2 linked regions of the Oreochromis niloticus genome follow. The protein of the gene in region 1 binds, or shares a complex with, the protein of each later gene. Links are inferred from orthologs where the notes say so. Each region holds a gene or a part of one and is shown on either strand. Other genes may lie near its edges.

Evidence for each region.
Region 2: the proteins of tacr1a (region 1) and tac1 are in contact, whole or in part, in a cryo-EM structure (PDB 7P02), measured with the Homo sapiens proteins. The link is inferred for Oreochromis niloticus from reciprocal best matches to the Homo sapiens genes TACR1 and TAC1. Residues at the interface, in NP_001049.1 of Homo sapiens: Gln24, Phe25, Asn85, Asn89, Tyr92, Ala93, Asn96, Trp98, His108, Asn109, Ile113, Gln165, Met174, Arg177, Val179, Cys180, Met181, Ile182, His197, Val200, Phe264, Phe267, Phe268, Tyr278, Leu279, Ile283, Gln284, Tyr287, Met291; in NP_003173.1 of Homo sapiens: Lys60, Pro61, Gln62, Gln63, Phe64, Phe65, Gly66, Leu67, Met68.

Annotation. Positions count from the first base shown.
Region 1 is NC_031977.2:5,949,928-5,958,059, forward strand, and holds the start of tacr1a (tachykinin receptor 1a), read left to right. Parts: upstream 1-5,055; 5' UTR 5,056-5,457; coding exon 5,458-5,861; intron 5,862-8,132. UniProt on the Homo sapiens protein: This is a receptor for the tachykinin neuropeptide substance P. It is probably associated with G proteins that activate a phosphatidylinositol-calcium second messenger system.
Region 2 is NC_031985.2:36,816,346-36,823,960, reverse strand, and holds the start of tac1 (protachykinin-1), read left to right. Parts: upstream 1-4,473; 5' UTR 4,474-4,857; coding exon 4,858-4,974; intron 4,975-5,706; coding exon 5,707-5,809; intron 5,810-5,891; coding exon 5,892-5,915; intron 5,916-7,615. UniProt on the Homo sapiens protein: Tachykinins are active peptides which excite neurons, evoke behavioral responses, are potent vasodilators and secretagogues, and contract (directly or indirectly) many smooth muscles.

The sequences.
Region 1 (8,132 bases):
GAATATTTTAGGGGAGAAAAACAGAGGGATGTGCCCAGAAAGTAAATATTCATTTTTTATACAATTCCCACAAATCATTTACAGCCTAATTTAATTATATGTAAGATATTTCAGTGCACACACTTTTAATGAATGTAGAGGACTATATATTTATATACATAGAAGTACATTTCCCATCCTGCATGCATGCCTTAGAAGGGAAAGTTATTCAGACTGACCTGGTAATTTCATGGCTAGAGCTGTGCAGTGAAATGTGGATGGAGTTGGAAATGAGTAGGAATATTTAACTGTTGTGCGTGCCAGTCTGTTATCATTCATAGCTGTGGCTTCTTCTCACACCTTTATTCTCCAGGATGGTGCTCTGACTGTTGTGATGAAGTGGACATTTAAGAGGGGATCGAAGCTTCCCTGGAGACAACTGCAATGTCCTTGAGCAGAAGCAAAATCGACACAGTTGGATGCTATCAATAATTTATTTTCGGAGAATATCTTTTTTTTTTTTTTTTAATTAGTATGTTGCTGGTGTCACTGACGAACTTTTGGCCCAGTTTGGCCACAATTCAATGATATTAAAGTCAAAGTAAAAATTGCAGAAAACCAGACAGCTGTCAGGAATGAAACCACTGTCACATTGCACAAAATGGTATGCTTCCCTTGTGTAGTTCCCTGTCCCGCTGGGTGATAACAGACATTTCATTCTGTTTTTAATAGTGGCAAAAAAGAACAACACTGAGATCATGGGCCCAAGCAGTACAGCAATACTAACATGCTTCAAAACAACGATCTTTGTCTACAAGGACAAATACTTCATAAATGCTTGTCCTGTATACTCTGTTACCTTATTGTAAACTATGTCCAGCTGTGCATGTCTTTGCATGTGTGTTTGACATGACATCAAGATTTCATTTCTAAAATAAAACCAATGCATGCTTCAAAGTTATGGTTAAAAACCACCTCCATGCACTTTTTTGGGTGTATTTGTTTGTGACACATAACAAAGTTTTACATTCATTTATTTACCATGGTAATTGCAAAGTGAAAATCTGGTGTCAGTAATTACATCACTGACATTGTCAAGGTTAATGGGGTTTAGGAAGCTATTTAGCATTCTGGGCAACGATCCACCTTAGAAAATGCTGCTTTTAGTACTAAACATCTACTGTTTAAGGTTGAGACTCTTATCTTGCACCAGTGCTCTGTCATACTCATAAAAATATTCATATTTTAATAAATAGGAATAATTCTTTCAGAACACCTTTAACCCAAGCCTTCAAAGGCTCATGTTGTACACTACAGTATTGTAACTCTTCATAAAAGAGAAATAATATTTCAGTATGGAGATTAGGGTGAGGATAATTCAATGCTCTGTTAACTAGGCTCTCTTCATGAACCCTCCAAATGCTTTCAGGTATTTTATTTTTTGATCTTATTGTACTTCCAAAGTTATACAAGTCCATTTTTGTTGTTTTAGAAAACTTTAGCAGAATTTCTGCTTGATAGATCTCAAGCTAGTTTACCACTATTTTTGCCTGAACAGTGTGCTTGATTAACATCTGAAAGATCAAATGACACCTCATGTTTCCTCTTACACCTTCAACAAATTCCTTTTCCTTCTCGTTCCTGTGATGCATTCTGGTCCATGTGTCAAAACTGTGTTTGTGATACTTCAGCAGCTAGCTACTGCTACAAGTGAAGATGAAGGTAAATTGAAATGCATTGAAATGCTCAATAAATATCACACAACAGCTTTTCACATATTGTGTCCTGGTAGGTGGAGAAAGTAAGAAAGCGAGGACAGGAGGGAAAGATGACAGATTATTTTCAAAGGTAAGTGTCGCTCAACAAGTGACTTTCTATAAACTGGAAATTTAAAGATTATTTATAATGTCCTAATTAAGTTTAGAGTTTTTAAATTAGATAACTGGATATATACATGCTGTGTTGCTTAATTGTGTTCTTGAATTACACCAATTTTTGTGTTATTCAGGGGTTGCATGGAAAACTGGGGATATTTAGGGCAGGATAAACTGGTTAAAGTCATATGTCATGTAGACTGAGGAACCAAAATGCAGACTCATGGACAAATGTTAACCGAAAACAAGCTTTTATTTAATATAAATCAAAACTCCAGCAGGAAAAGCGGGAACATGGGGTAAACACTGGGAGCAAGGAAATCTACAGAAGCACTACACACCACAGGATGTAAAGTAACATAAACTGGAACTTTTATTATTGTAGCGTCTTTACAATATAAAGTGTCTTGAGGGAACTGTTGTTGTGATTTGGTGCTATTTAAATGAATTGAGTTGAATTGGAAGCTGGAAACAGGCTGCGGAAAACCGGATGACATGACAAATGGCAAGTAGAGACTCAGACAATTTATACACACAGCAATGAGGCAAGGGGCAAACAGGTGGGAGACAGCAGGACACAGCGGGAACAAATCATGGCTAATGAGACTCAAGAAGTTAAACTCAGCACAAGAGAGCAACAGTGTAATGCCCATGGACACTTTAGAAAGGTCTTCTAGGGCAGAGGTTCCCAAAGTGTGGGGCCCGCCCCCTAGGGGGGGAGGGGGGGCGCGGTATGAAAAGAAAAAAGAGGACAACTTGTTCAGGGGGAATTAACTAATTAAAGACTTTATGAAATATGACCTTTACAACTATCATGGGGCAAAGCCTAAAGGAGTATTTCTGACCTGACACCATTAGAATAAAATACTAATTTCTTTAAAATGTATAGCTAATAAATGACTGAACACAGTCAAAATACAAATAACCCCTTTTTTTCTTAATAAGGCAATAAACAAATGGGCACTAAAAGAGTGGGGCTACATAAGTACCCAGCTGGGTGCTGGGTAGTTAGCATTCACACAGAGTGAGCATTCAAGAAACCAATGAAAGGAGCAGCGGTAATAAAGATAGAAAATACTGGAGTATCAAAGTTGTGAATGCATTCACAAGAATGCAGTATTATTCTGGTAATCACTAAATTTCTATTATAGTAAGACATGGTGGCCTCGAATTTTTGGCTTTAAATAAAGAGATGAGTCTTATCACATTTGGAAGGTACAGACTGTTCATGGAATTCTATTTGATGTCTACAAGACAAGCTCAGAGATAGTCAAGTCATACAAGCATCTTACTGAGTGAATAACTATGTGCTCAAGACTGAAGCAGCTCAGAGGACTCTTTCCTCAGTAAAAAAGCAAACTGAATATAAAGGAAAAGAAAATCCTCTAAAGAATTTAAAGCAGGTGTAAGTACTGTATTATATTATGAATCAAAAAGTGTTAAACTCAATTCAGATCTTATTGTAATGTAAATGTCAGTTATGTAAATGTGGTGAAGACCGTTGAGAGGTCAGTAAGACTAGAGAAACACTGTATAAATGCCAGATAGTTAAAATATTTATCACAGCTACAACATTTTTGGCACTAAAGACTCCCTTATTCCAGTGATAGGAGTTTTGGTTCCTTCTTGTCACACTCTCTAGTCTTTCAGTACCGTAAATAGTTCAATGGCAAGCTGCAAAGAAATCCTCTTAATGAGTTCATTCATTCTCTCACATTACTTTTCCTGACAGACCTAAAGACAGATCTTTCTGGCTAGATATAAAGACAGGACAATGCCCACATCTATCTCATTGTCATTAACATCTTACCATGAAAGCCCTATTGGTATATTATCTTAGCAATATATGTCTGATCATCTCATGATATGATATGATTGTCACGGACCCGGCTCTGGAGGACTCGGGGGTCCGTGAACAGGATGGACCATTATTATTATTATCATCATTATTATTATTATTATTATGGTTATTTGGGGATGTGTGTTTGTCTGCACAATGCTGTGTTATTCTGTGGTCCACTCGTTATATGTATAGGCAGGGTGTGGGTGTATAGGTGTGGCTGTAGGATGGAGGACAGCCACCTGCAGGCCTGATGGGTGTGGCCCTGCTGGAGGACTGGCCACACCTGAAGTCCCTGCCACACACCTGCTGCTGATCTGGGCTCGTCGGGGGAGCTATTTAGGAGAGTGTTGGAGCTCCCACCGGCGCGGGATCATTGAGCTAGACTCCAAGTCAGTGTGTGTAGCATTAGGTAGTACGGATCGTGTGTATGCGCGGGGTCAGTGTTAACGGCCGCTTCTGTTATTGTCCTGCAGGTGGAACGAGGGACCAGAAGGGCAGCACGCACAGGGTGTGCAGAAACACAACTGCCGGGAGCACGAGCACGGACGTCAGAGGGGAACACACACACGGGAGTCTAGGGAGCAAAGGGGGTTTATTGTGCATCTGTTACCTCACTGTAAATAAACGCACTGTTCACACACAGAGCACCGCGACTGGGTCCTCATTCCCCATATCCCCAATGATATGATATGATATGATATGATATGAACATATGTAAGGACTGTACGAAGAACCTTGTGAAAAGAATGGCAGGACTGCAGGTTTTTCATTTATATCCTGTGAAACAATCAATCTTCAATCAAACCTCTCCAGTCCAGAATCCAAGACCACAAGAGGGGGTAGTGAGTGAGAGGAACTAGGTGTTCATTATGGCACCCCATCACTCTACACAACAAGCCACAGTAAGAAAAAAAGGTCATTTTCATAATGTAAACCAGAACCAAGAAGTGACAAATTTAACAGTACTTTAGGTAGTGAGAACGCCATGAGTGTTAAAAGAGACATAAATTGTGCAGTAAGTAATTTTTATGTAATGTGTAAATTTGGGGTCATTTGAAAAGAAGTCAAACAATGTTTCCTTATCTTACATTGTAATTATGAAGTAACATATTTTCACAAGTGGTATTTATCTTTTATTTTCAAATTGCACGAACAATGCCAAAAAAGATTGTATATATTGTTATTATTGTACATAATAACTGAAATTGTCCGTGAAGGAATTATAATAAAATTACATCAGATAAAGTATTTAGGCGTAGTAATCTAGCTGGCATCCCCTTACAGCCTACATGGGTGCACTGAAGAAGTCACCTGAATCCGTAATCATAATTACCGAGCCAGCCTGTTGGACGGGAGCGCAGAAGCTCTCTTCAAAAGCTGGTGTGCAGCCGCTCAGTCGGAGCAGAGGAGCAGCGGGAGGACAGCACACAGACAAGGAGAGAGACACAGACGGAGCTGAGCTGTTAAAATTGCCAGACTCGTTCTGGTGCGCGTAAAAGACGCCTTTCTGTTTTTACGCACAGCAAAAAGGGGGAAACGTGCAAAGATTAATATGGAAGTTTCGACTTCAAATACTTTTTCTGATTCGTTGACTTTATTATTTGTAGGAGAGCGGACTCTCCGCAGACTACAACTGTACACTTAGAAACGAGCGTGAAGCTTTCGGAAACTTTCCAACATTCACTTTGCGTTTGGAATCGTTAACTTAGTCGTGTAATTAATTGGGGTTATTTAGTGACAATTTCGCTTGTAAACAGTAAAATGGATCTTTTATTTAGTACCACCAATGCGCCAAATTGGACCAGCAGCTCCAATGACACCAATAACGGGACCATTTACTGGAACCAGTTTGTGCAGCCGGTCTGGAAAATCGTCCTCTGGGCCATTGCCTACAGCTGTATAGTTATCGTGTCCGTAGTAGGTAACATCACAGTCATCTGGATTATTATGGCGCACAAACGCATGAGGACTGTCACCAATTATTTTCTCCTGAACCTCGCGTTCGCCGAAGCGTCCATGTCTGCATTCAACACGGTGATCAACTTCACCTACGCGGTGCACAACGAGTGGTACTTTGGACTCGACTACTGCCGCTTCCACAACTTCTTTCCGATCGCGGCTGTGTTTGCCAGCATCTATTCAATGACTGCCATCGCTCTGGACAGGTAAGCTTCTGTTTTCACAGCCAGTCTGCTTTCAGAATACACGAGAAATGTACCCCAAATGTTTGGTACTGGAAAACACCCGTAAACACCCGAGACCGTCTAATAAAATCTGGCCATTCACTGTACAGTTTATGTTTCAAAATTCCAAGAAAGTGAAGAGTACATCCATACATATCGATCATTATGAAAACAGACTACTGTTGATTTCTAAGAGCGTATAGGTGTGGTAAAAAAAAAAAAAAAAAAAAAGAAAGAAAGAAAAGAAAAAAGGTGCAAATGCTTTCATATTGTTTTTACTCGTATGGTTAAATATTACGGACTCCGTGCTCTTTGGAAAAATGTTTGAAATTCCATGAGAAACTTCCTTCACTAGTTGGTGTAAAAGTAATACTGACAGTATTTGTTGTCCTTCGCTGCCTCTTTTGTTTGCATATGGCGAAACAATGCGTGACGCACAGGAAGCGCAATAAACAGCCATGGTTAATGGTTTATTGCCTTCTGGATCAAACCCTTATCAAATAAGAAAAAAAGAAAAGCAAAGCTGTTGCTAAACGTTTTGTGCATTCATTTTATGTCTTCATGTATACTCCTGTTACTGAAAATATATCCTCTGGGGGAAAATATTTCTTCATTTCTAAGGCTTTGCTCGCTCTTAATGAGCAACCTTGTGTAGGAACACGTTGCACCAATGGGGCGGCACCATAATAATCCTGAATGAAAATGAATGGATAGAAAGCACTGCTCTATTTGAGTAGGTGTTTGTGTGAGTGATAAATGTGTGTTGTTGTCCTTGTGTGTTGTGTATGTAAATCTGTGAAGTATCTATCTATATTTCCATGTAGGTAATTCTCTCTGTGTGCAGGAAGGAGTGTGTGAAAATATGTGCATTGCCCAGTTTGAAACATGTTTATATGTGTTATCTGTAAGTGTGGGTGGATGTGGGTGGGTGTACATTTGAGACATCCATTTTCTTGCTTAACCACATGAAGCTGTGTTTGCAGCTCTGTATTTTCTGCATCTCAGGACATAATAGCTACTAATTGTCTCACTGTGGAACACCATTAATCTGAACTTTCCAAGATTAAGTGAGAGATTGTTAGAGCTGAACAGAGAGCAAAAGGGAAGCAACCACACATGCTATATTCAGTCTGCTCACTGCAAACATGCTGTTACGAGGAGTTTGCCAATCAGGTGATATAGGAATCTAGCTATCCACACGCATCCACGCAACATAACCATGATTTTAAAATCCTCGTAGAGGAACCTTACCTTTACCTTGAAGGCCCCACATGTATGCAGCTAGGAAAAGATAGTATTTCAAAATATTTCAGAGATGTTGATGATTAAGCTGGAGGTAGACACCCACTGTGACCCATCATTCACAAACAGCACTACCTTCACAGTTAACATTTCATCTCTTAATGACATAGATATAAAATCATTTCTGTCTGTTGATCGTATGTTTGATGAATGTGTTAAACGGGGGAGGTGGAGCAGTGTTGCTGTAGCTGATAAGACGTTTCTTTTCTTATCTCCATCCTTTTCCTCCGTGTTTCTGGGGTGCTCTTGCACTGCACTGCCCACAGATCAGCAGTACAGCTGCGTGCTCAAATCAGTGTGCTGCTCCAATGCTGACTGTATTGAGGTAATTGGGAAAAAAACAAAACAAACTCAGCTGTAGAAAAATCTACTGGGGCTGTATGTGGATTCATTGGGTCCTTTATAAAATGGAGTTTTCAATTTCTTTCGCCCTGGATTTTGGGTAGAGGGAAGTAAGAGAATTTGTCAAAGTAGCAAAACAGTACAAACCTAAAGCCTCTGATTACTGTAGTGGGAAAAAGACTATAACACACAAATGTATTCCTCAGTATTTTGATGATTAAATTTAATCAAAATTCATGGTTAGCACTGTTGCCTCACAGCAAGAAGGTCCTGAGTTCAATTCCACCATCAGGCCAGGGTCTTTCTGTGTGGAATTTGCATGTTCTCTCTGTGTTTGTGTGGGTTCTGTCTGGGTACTCTGGCTTCTTCCCACATTCCAAAGATATGCAGTTAACGGGGATAGGTTAATTGGTAATTCTAAATTGCCCAGAGGTGTGAATGTAAGTGCAAATGGTTGTCTGTCTCTATGTGTTAGACTGGCGACCTACCCAGGGTGCACCCTGCCTCTCTACCTAAGAGAGCTGACCCCGAAAAGGATGAGTTGAAGAGAATGGATGGATGGCATTTCACTGGCATGGTGGTGCAGTGGTTAGCACTGTTGCCTTTAAC
Region 2 (7,615 bases), on another chromosome or scaffold:
TGAAGAGCAACGGAAACAGAGCATGAACCAGTGGTGTGAGATTCAGAGGAGTGATGTAATCTCCCAATTCTTTTCATCTTTGGGCTGAAGGAAGGACAATACTCGGTGTGTAAATGCTCAATCAACAATTATTTATTTCCATACAATTTAACACTTATGAGCACAAGCCATGCAGATGGGGAGAGATGCATGAAGAGGGTCACAGCAAATCTAAAACTGGTGGAGGGTTACTCAGCCTCTTATAGCCTCTAGTGGCCCGCACCTAGTCGTAAAAATCTAAACATTCACATTCTTTCTCTCACACGCCGCCTAAGTTATGACCTCGGCTCCTTGTTTTATCTCCTCCTGATGAGATGGGGCAGAAAACCTCTCTGGTATGTTCTGTTCTCTTCTAATCAGACAAATAAGGCCATGACTCTCTGAAAACGGTATTTCTTATAACTCAGCAGTATAATGCATCATAAAACAATATCATTCATTCACTATAAATCAGCAGTCTAATCTAATACAAATCAGTTTAATAAATCTAATAGTTATCACCTCTTCAGGAGAATAAAGCAAACTAAAACTACATAATAATTTCACAATCATTAATCAGGGGTATAACATGGCATAAGATAATATAATAATCTCACAGTGACCAGCAGGTAAGTGAGGTTCTTGCCAGGTTGGAGCAATGGAGATCTGTGAGAAACTAAAATACAAGGAGACACAAGGTAGGCAAAACAGGAACTTAAAATGTGTTGGCCAAAATCTCAACATGGGTTAGCAGACGAACTGGCAAAGACTAGTTGTAAGCACTGGTCTTAAATACTGCCAAATACTTCCATCTCTGGTCAAGACTACCAGCTCATATGACAGAACACTTCCCTCCTGCACCCGGCGATCATCATGGTCACAAGTGGCCTGTTCTCAATATTACATTTTGTGTATGATTCTGTTATTCTGAACATGCAGGGATCCACTCCTGAAAAAAAAGTTTATGATATTAATGTAAGGAACAAGGTTCTTATACTGAGCTACAAAAATGTGAACAACTAAAAATATAAAGTGTGAAACACTGGTGCATAAATTAAAAATTAGGATACATATCTACGTGACTCAGTCAGCTGCCTTCTCAATGTGTAATTTATGTAAATTATAAATTAATACCCATTCTGAACTTATAAAATCTTGCTTCTGACATATGTATACCAACATGCATTTCTTACATATGAAACCAAATTTTACAAATCAAACTAGAACATGCAATTAGAGAAATCGCATTGGGATTGTTGCTACTGGCAGATTCAGTCTGTAGCTTCACTAATGATGTGATGGCTCTGTGCCTCGTAAAGTGGCGGTGATTTTAAAATTGAGTTATGTTTGTGTTACCTAGCGATGAGAACTGTTAAGAATTTAGCGACTCTGTGTTGGAGGTATTTCCACTCTTTGTTGTGATCGATGTTGGGGTCATTACCCAAAAAAGTAACTATTGCACATATTACATTGAACACTTTTCTCAAAAATAATGCAGCACAATGCGTAATTACTCCCAGGATAAAGTAATTCCTTATATTACTCATTAAATTACTTTAATGTGATGCTGTAAAATTACCTAAAAGGCATTGTCTCATAATTTATCCCTGTACTCATGAGGACACACATATGAGCTTTCTCTTGGTATTACACAGGCCCACAGCACAAAGCAAAGATGAAAACTAGCATAAAGAGACTTAACAGTGATTGTTACAGTGATCACTACTTTAGAAACATGAACAGGAAGAAACAGAGGCTGCAGCCTGATTGATCATCTGTTTGTTTTATGTTGAAGTTCAGAGTGTGGCTGCTGGGCTGGGGTTGGCATTCACTCAGCTGTAATGCCACTCTTGATTATCTTAGTATACATGCTGTGTGTTGCAGGTGCTTTCCAAAGAGCTGAAGTTCAGCTACTCGGAGTGGTTGTAATAATTTCTGTCTTTCAAGGTTTGTATTCAAAATGCAGTCACCTCTTTGGTTTTGATTTTTAAATATCATCTGCTGGTCAACTTAATGACTACTGAACCAATGGGGTGTACCACAGTGAGAGGGAAATAGTTCAAGCAATAATAGCTTTAATTTCATAGTGAACTACAAATACATGATTTTTCAACTATAAATAAATGGCATTTTGATATATATGGAGCATATGCTCCATGCCAACTGTGCAGGAGTAAAAAAATATGTATATATAAAAAATAAATACAGGAATAAATAGCAAACAGAATAAATATATACACCATCAAGAGAAATATATCCAATCAAGAGTGATATACACACATTGGGTAGCAAAGTGCTTGGAAGCAGTGCAAAGGGAGTGATTGGGGCCACTTAGTGAGGAGCAGTCAGCACGGGGATCTGAAGGTGGTCCAGTTTGGTGGTGAGGATGTCTTCCTGTTCTTCGCTCAGTGCTTTGTGAAGAGCGGTGGTGATGGCATCCGCCATGGACCAATTTGCTCTGTAAGCAAACTGGTGGGGGGTCAAGGGAGGGGAGTGGCCAGTCTCAGATGTGCTGAGGCACTGCCGGCTCAAAACACTTCATGACTACAGACGTGAGGGCTATAGGTCTGTAGGCATTATGGCTGCCTATACCAGCCTTTTGGGGGATGGGAATGATAGTGGAGGCCTTCAGACAGGTGGGAATCGTTGCCTGAGTCAGGGAGAGGTTGAAAAGCCCGGTGAGGATCCCTGCCAGTTGGTCCGCGCAGGCTTTAGACACAGCCCCTGGGATGTTGTCGGGGACTGGCAGCTCTCCTGGGGTTTGCCACTCTCAGTTTCCCTCTGACCTCATGTTCTTGGAGGGAACATGTTGGAGGGAACAGACCATGTTTAATGACCCAGATGCTTGGAGGGGTTTGTTTCCTGAGGGGGATATATGCAGGCATAAAAAGCAGAATGAGGTGGTCAGATTGTCCCAGGTGGGGGAGGGGTGTCGCTTTGTAGACATGCTGGATGTTGCTGTATACGTGGTTCAGTGTCCTGCCCCCCCTGGTAGGATACATAACATGCTGGGGGAATTTGGGGAGTACAGATTTCAAAAATGCCTTATTAAAGTCTGCAGCAACAATTTGGACACCCTCTGTGTGCTGTCTCTGGTTTTTACTGATAAGAAGTTGAATGTGGTTGAGTGCTGAGCTAACATTAGCACTGGGGGGGATGTAAACAATGGCAACTATGGCTACCGTTAACTCCCGAGGTAGATAGAAGCTTCTGCACTGAATGGACCTGGTGTCTAAGTCCGGTGAGCAGTGACTTTCTATAATTTTGCTGTTATAGCACCAGTCCTGAACCACATAAGCACGCAGCCCAATTCAGACCTGATCCAGCTCTAACTATACGTTTTACCAAAAAGGAAAGTTTAAGCCTAATCTTAAAAGTAGAGGCAACAATACAAAGTGATCAGTGCATTGCAGGAGGACGCAGTGAAAAGGCATAAAAAACCCAAAGAGGTGCACAGTAGTTGGGTGCGCTGTGCTGCTGAATATGTCCGTACACGCTGCCATCTTGCTCATTTTTGCAACTTTTCAAGTGTAAGTCAATGGAATTTCAATACATTTTCCCAGTCAACTATAAATCCACCTAATTTCAATATAATTTCCCAGTCAGCCATAGACGAATGACTTTGAGAGGGGTCCCATGGAACAGTCCAGCTGATAATAGTTTTAATTTCCAGGTCAACTAGGAATCCATTACTTTTCAATGCCTTGGTTGTCGCCTGGTCAACTATAAACAGATCAATAATCATTCAGTTATAACATGAGAACTTTGAATCAATGTTATTCCAGTGTCATTACTGTTACACTGTCAGGTATCATCTGTATTTTAATATGGATTTTAGCATATTTTGGCCATAATGATGATTCAGATGAAAAATCAACATTAACTCAATCTCATCTTGCTATCTGGGAAAGATGAAAACCAGCCCAGAAAGACTTCAAACGATCACCACGGTGATTGTACTGTAGAAATGGAGGATGCAGTCTGTCTGTTCATTCATTTGTTACCTGTTGAAGTTCAGGGTCTGGCAGCTGGGCTTGGGTTGACAAACACTCAGCTTTTACATTACTCCCAGTTCTTGGCTAGCTTAGCGTTAGCATGCTGTCTGTGGAGACGCTTGCAAGTTCTTTTGCATAATGCAGATGCTTTTTGCACTACACTAACGCACTCTCCTCCTTTGGTGCAATAAAACTTCATGAATAAATGATAAATTAAATGTTAAATACAAATGTTCTTAAACTGAGCATTAGGTAGAAATATCCCTATAATACTGGCCTCCATCAAAAGTATTCAAACAATGAAAAAACGTTAAATCAAATGGCCCAGACATGTTGGAGCAACTTTTAAGTTTTGGGCGCTGTGACAACGAAAAGCGGACTTTTTACTGTGACTGAAAGCTGGATAACAGTACTTTATGACGTCACCATCATTCTTCATAATAGTGACGGTGAAGTCCGGTGACGCACAACAGGTTCTGATCACTGCGCTTAACAGGCTGCTTACCGAAACTTCACTCAAGTAATCATAGTACTGTTAAGGCGTTACTTAGCAACACTATTCACACCGGTATATAGGAGCGTACGGATCGGAGACCTTACGAAACAAACAGCTCTAGAAGCTGAGTGCGCAGACAGCGCTGGAGATAGTGCTGTGACACAGGCTACGCGCTATGGACTACTGTTGATTTGTGGAGGAAGAAACAGCGCACACTCCAGCTCCTTCTGGTGCTCACACACCTGTTTCATTCACCTCGCTTTATTTCTGCTGACTGATAACTGTTATCGTGATACATTGGGTATTAGAGTGCTTATTGTTGTAGAGTGAGAGAAAAGCTGCGAGATCATGAAGTCTCTGCTTGTAGCAGTTTTAATGGTTCTCATCGCCGCCGCCCAAGTTTCCGGCGAAGAAAATGACCCAAAAGAGGACACTGATTACTGGACGAGCACTAATCAAATCCAGGTATGTATTCAGAGTTATACTCTCTCCTTAATAATTCATAAATACTACTATTAAAGTAGCTCGTCTTTTAGTCTCCTTCAGTGGATGAAAGCAGAATAAATTTATATACCACCTAACAGGCATAAGGAAATTAGTTTGACTTAAGTTTTTTTTTTTCTTCCTTTTTGTGAGAACAAAGACATCCCCTTACAGACGTATGTTAAACCCCAGCGTCACACTTGTAGGGTTGCATATTTGTATTTTTAAAAAAATATTAAAATTATATGTATACACAAATTTACTGAAAAGGCGTATATAAAGGCTCATATATTAGCTTAATCACACTTTAGGAGCGACTGGATATATCGGCACTTTGTCACAACGGGCATCATCTCTCTGTGCGGGACATTAGTAGCGCAAAGATCCATATTGCCAGTCACACTAATGCATACTGCATGAATATAATCCTGAGATGGAAACAGAAAATCGCAAGAAAAGATCCAAATTCATTCTGCATTACTCGGTGTATTTTATGTGGGTGGACCGGTGGGTGGGACTGTCAGCTAATATTGATTAAGATAAGGTTCTGGCAGAATTCCGCTTTATTCTCTTGTTATAATGACGTGAGCAGGTAGATAAGGTATTAACACAGTTGAGGTATAGTTTGATGACACTAAATTTTTATAAAGATAAGATCCACTCTCACTCCACTCTGCTTCTCAGTGTAAGCATTCCTTCTCCCCCTCCACTCAGAATGGCTGGATTTCCGACGACCCGTTCAGAGAAGCCCTGCTGAGAATGACAAGAAAGCCAAAGCCACATCAGTTTATCGGTCTGATGGGGAGGCGCTCTATGGGTAAGAGCTAATTCTTAATAAAAGTACTTCTCCTATGCACCAGTTATTCTAACCTTTCATTTTTACTTTCATCCTCCCACAGCAAACACACAGATCACCCGCAAAAGTAAGTCCTGAAGTCATTATAGCTATAGCAATTTCCCTGCTCTTTAATTAAAACTCGGAACAAAAAGACCTAACCCCTTTGCCAATAGCTGGAGATGTGTGGCCAGTTACCTCGGACCTTTGACTGGCGCAAGCTGGTTTGTACACTGCTCATTTGTGCACAAATCAGCATGCACAAAGCAAAACTGAATTTTAACATAACAAAATAAAGCTCAGGTAAAAATAAAGCTAAATAAAAAAAATTTAAACGATTTTAAAACAAATCTAAATATCAGTATGTACAGTAGTGGAAATAGGCAAATATGAATATTATTCCCAAATAAAATTGATGAATAGCTACAACCATCTATTACAGTGATAAGTTAACAAGAATTAAATGATCACTTTCAGTTTACCACCATATCACTTATGTGAATTATAAGTAATTCTGTTACAGTATCACTTTTAATTTAATAGAGAATAAATTACTAGTGATAATGTAATAATGCTCCCATGTGGTAAAATGAGACTGCTCTGTGGTGACCAATCAGAGACGTATACATCAGGTGGGATGTATTAGTCATAATGATGAGGGATTTCTTCAGCATTCTCCTCTTAGACACCTCTACCCGAGTCTTCGAGTTTTACTCCCAGAATCAGTCTTCAAGATGAATTTATTCAGTCTGTTGACATTAGCAGCTTTCATCCTGCCGAACACTCCTGCATAGAACACCACACTTGCCACCACAGAGTGATGGCAAGTGATATAAACAGCAAGGCCTTACAAATGTTGAACGACCTGAGCCTTTTAGTTGATACAGGTCGCACAGATTCTGCTCTATATCTCATCCATGAAATAAACCCTTTTAAATGGATGGAAGGGCATTAAAAAAGCATTCAGGACATTAACCCATAAGAGCCCAGATACATTTTTACTGCCGGGAAAACTATGGGAGAGTCAGTGTTTAAACTTTAAAAGGAAAACTTTCCTCAGTGTGTGAAGGGACGAGGTTCTTTAGAATCAGACACACAAGCAAAGGCAAGTGTGCAAGGGTCAGATGGACTTGTGTGCTTTTCTCTAATAATGTGCATTTTGACTGAGATTAAAGGCAAAAAAAAAATACATTGAGTCAATAAATGTACTGAGACAGTGGGTGGAGAGGTGTACACAGCTGTGACAGCTCTACAGATATCAGCTCACTCCACAAAAGTGGAAGGTCTTTGTTCCACAAACAGAGCATGGAGCAGAAAAAGCGTAAATTCAACTTGCCCACAGTGTTTGTGTCTGTGGGCAAGAAATGCAGTATACAAAGATTTTTTTTCCCTAATGTTCTTTGAACTAATTAATTAGTGAGTAAAGAAGGTGGTCCAGGGGAGACGCCTGTGTGAGACAAAGAGGGAAAAGATAAAGAGCAATGAGGAGGAGGGGATTTTCTCTTTCCTCTGTCATGGTTTGCGTTTCATCTGAATTAGTCACCCACTCAGTGATGCACTCAGTGCAGCGCAAGTAAGCAAACAGCTAATTTATTCCTGTAATGCAGGACCCGCTGTAAAACAATCATAAGATAGGGAGCTGAGATACGTGCCCTCAGGACATGTGGCCGTGTAGTTGAATTTTTCATGGTTCAACAAAAAGTCTTTAATACTAAAAGAAAGAAACCAACAAGACATAATTCATTGTTTTGTCGATGGCTCGAGAGCCATTACAATTTTCTTGTTGTA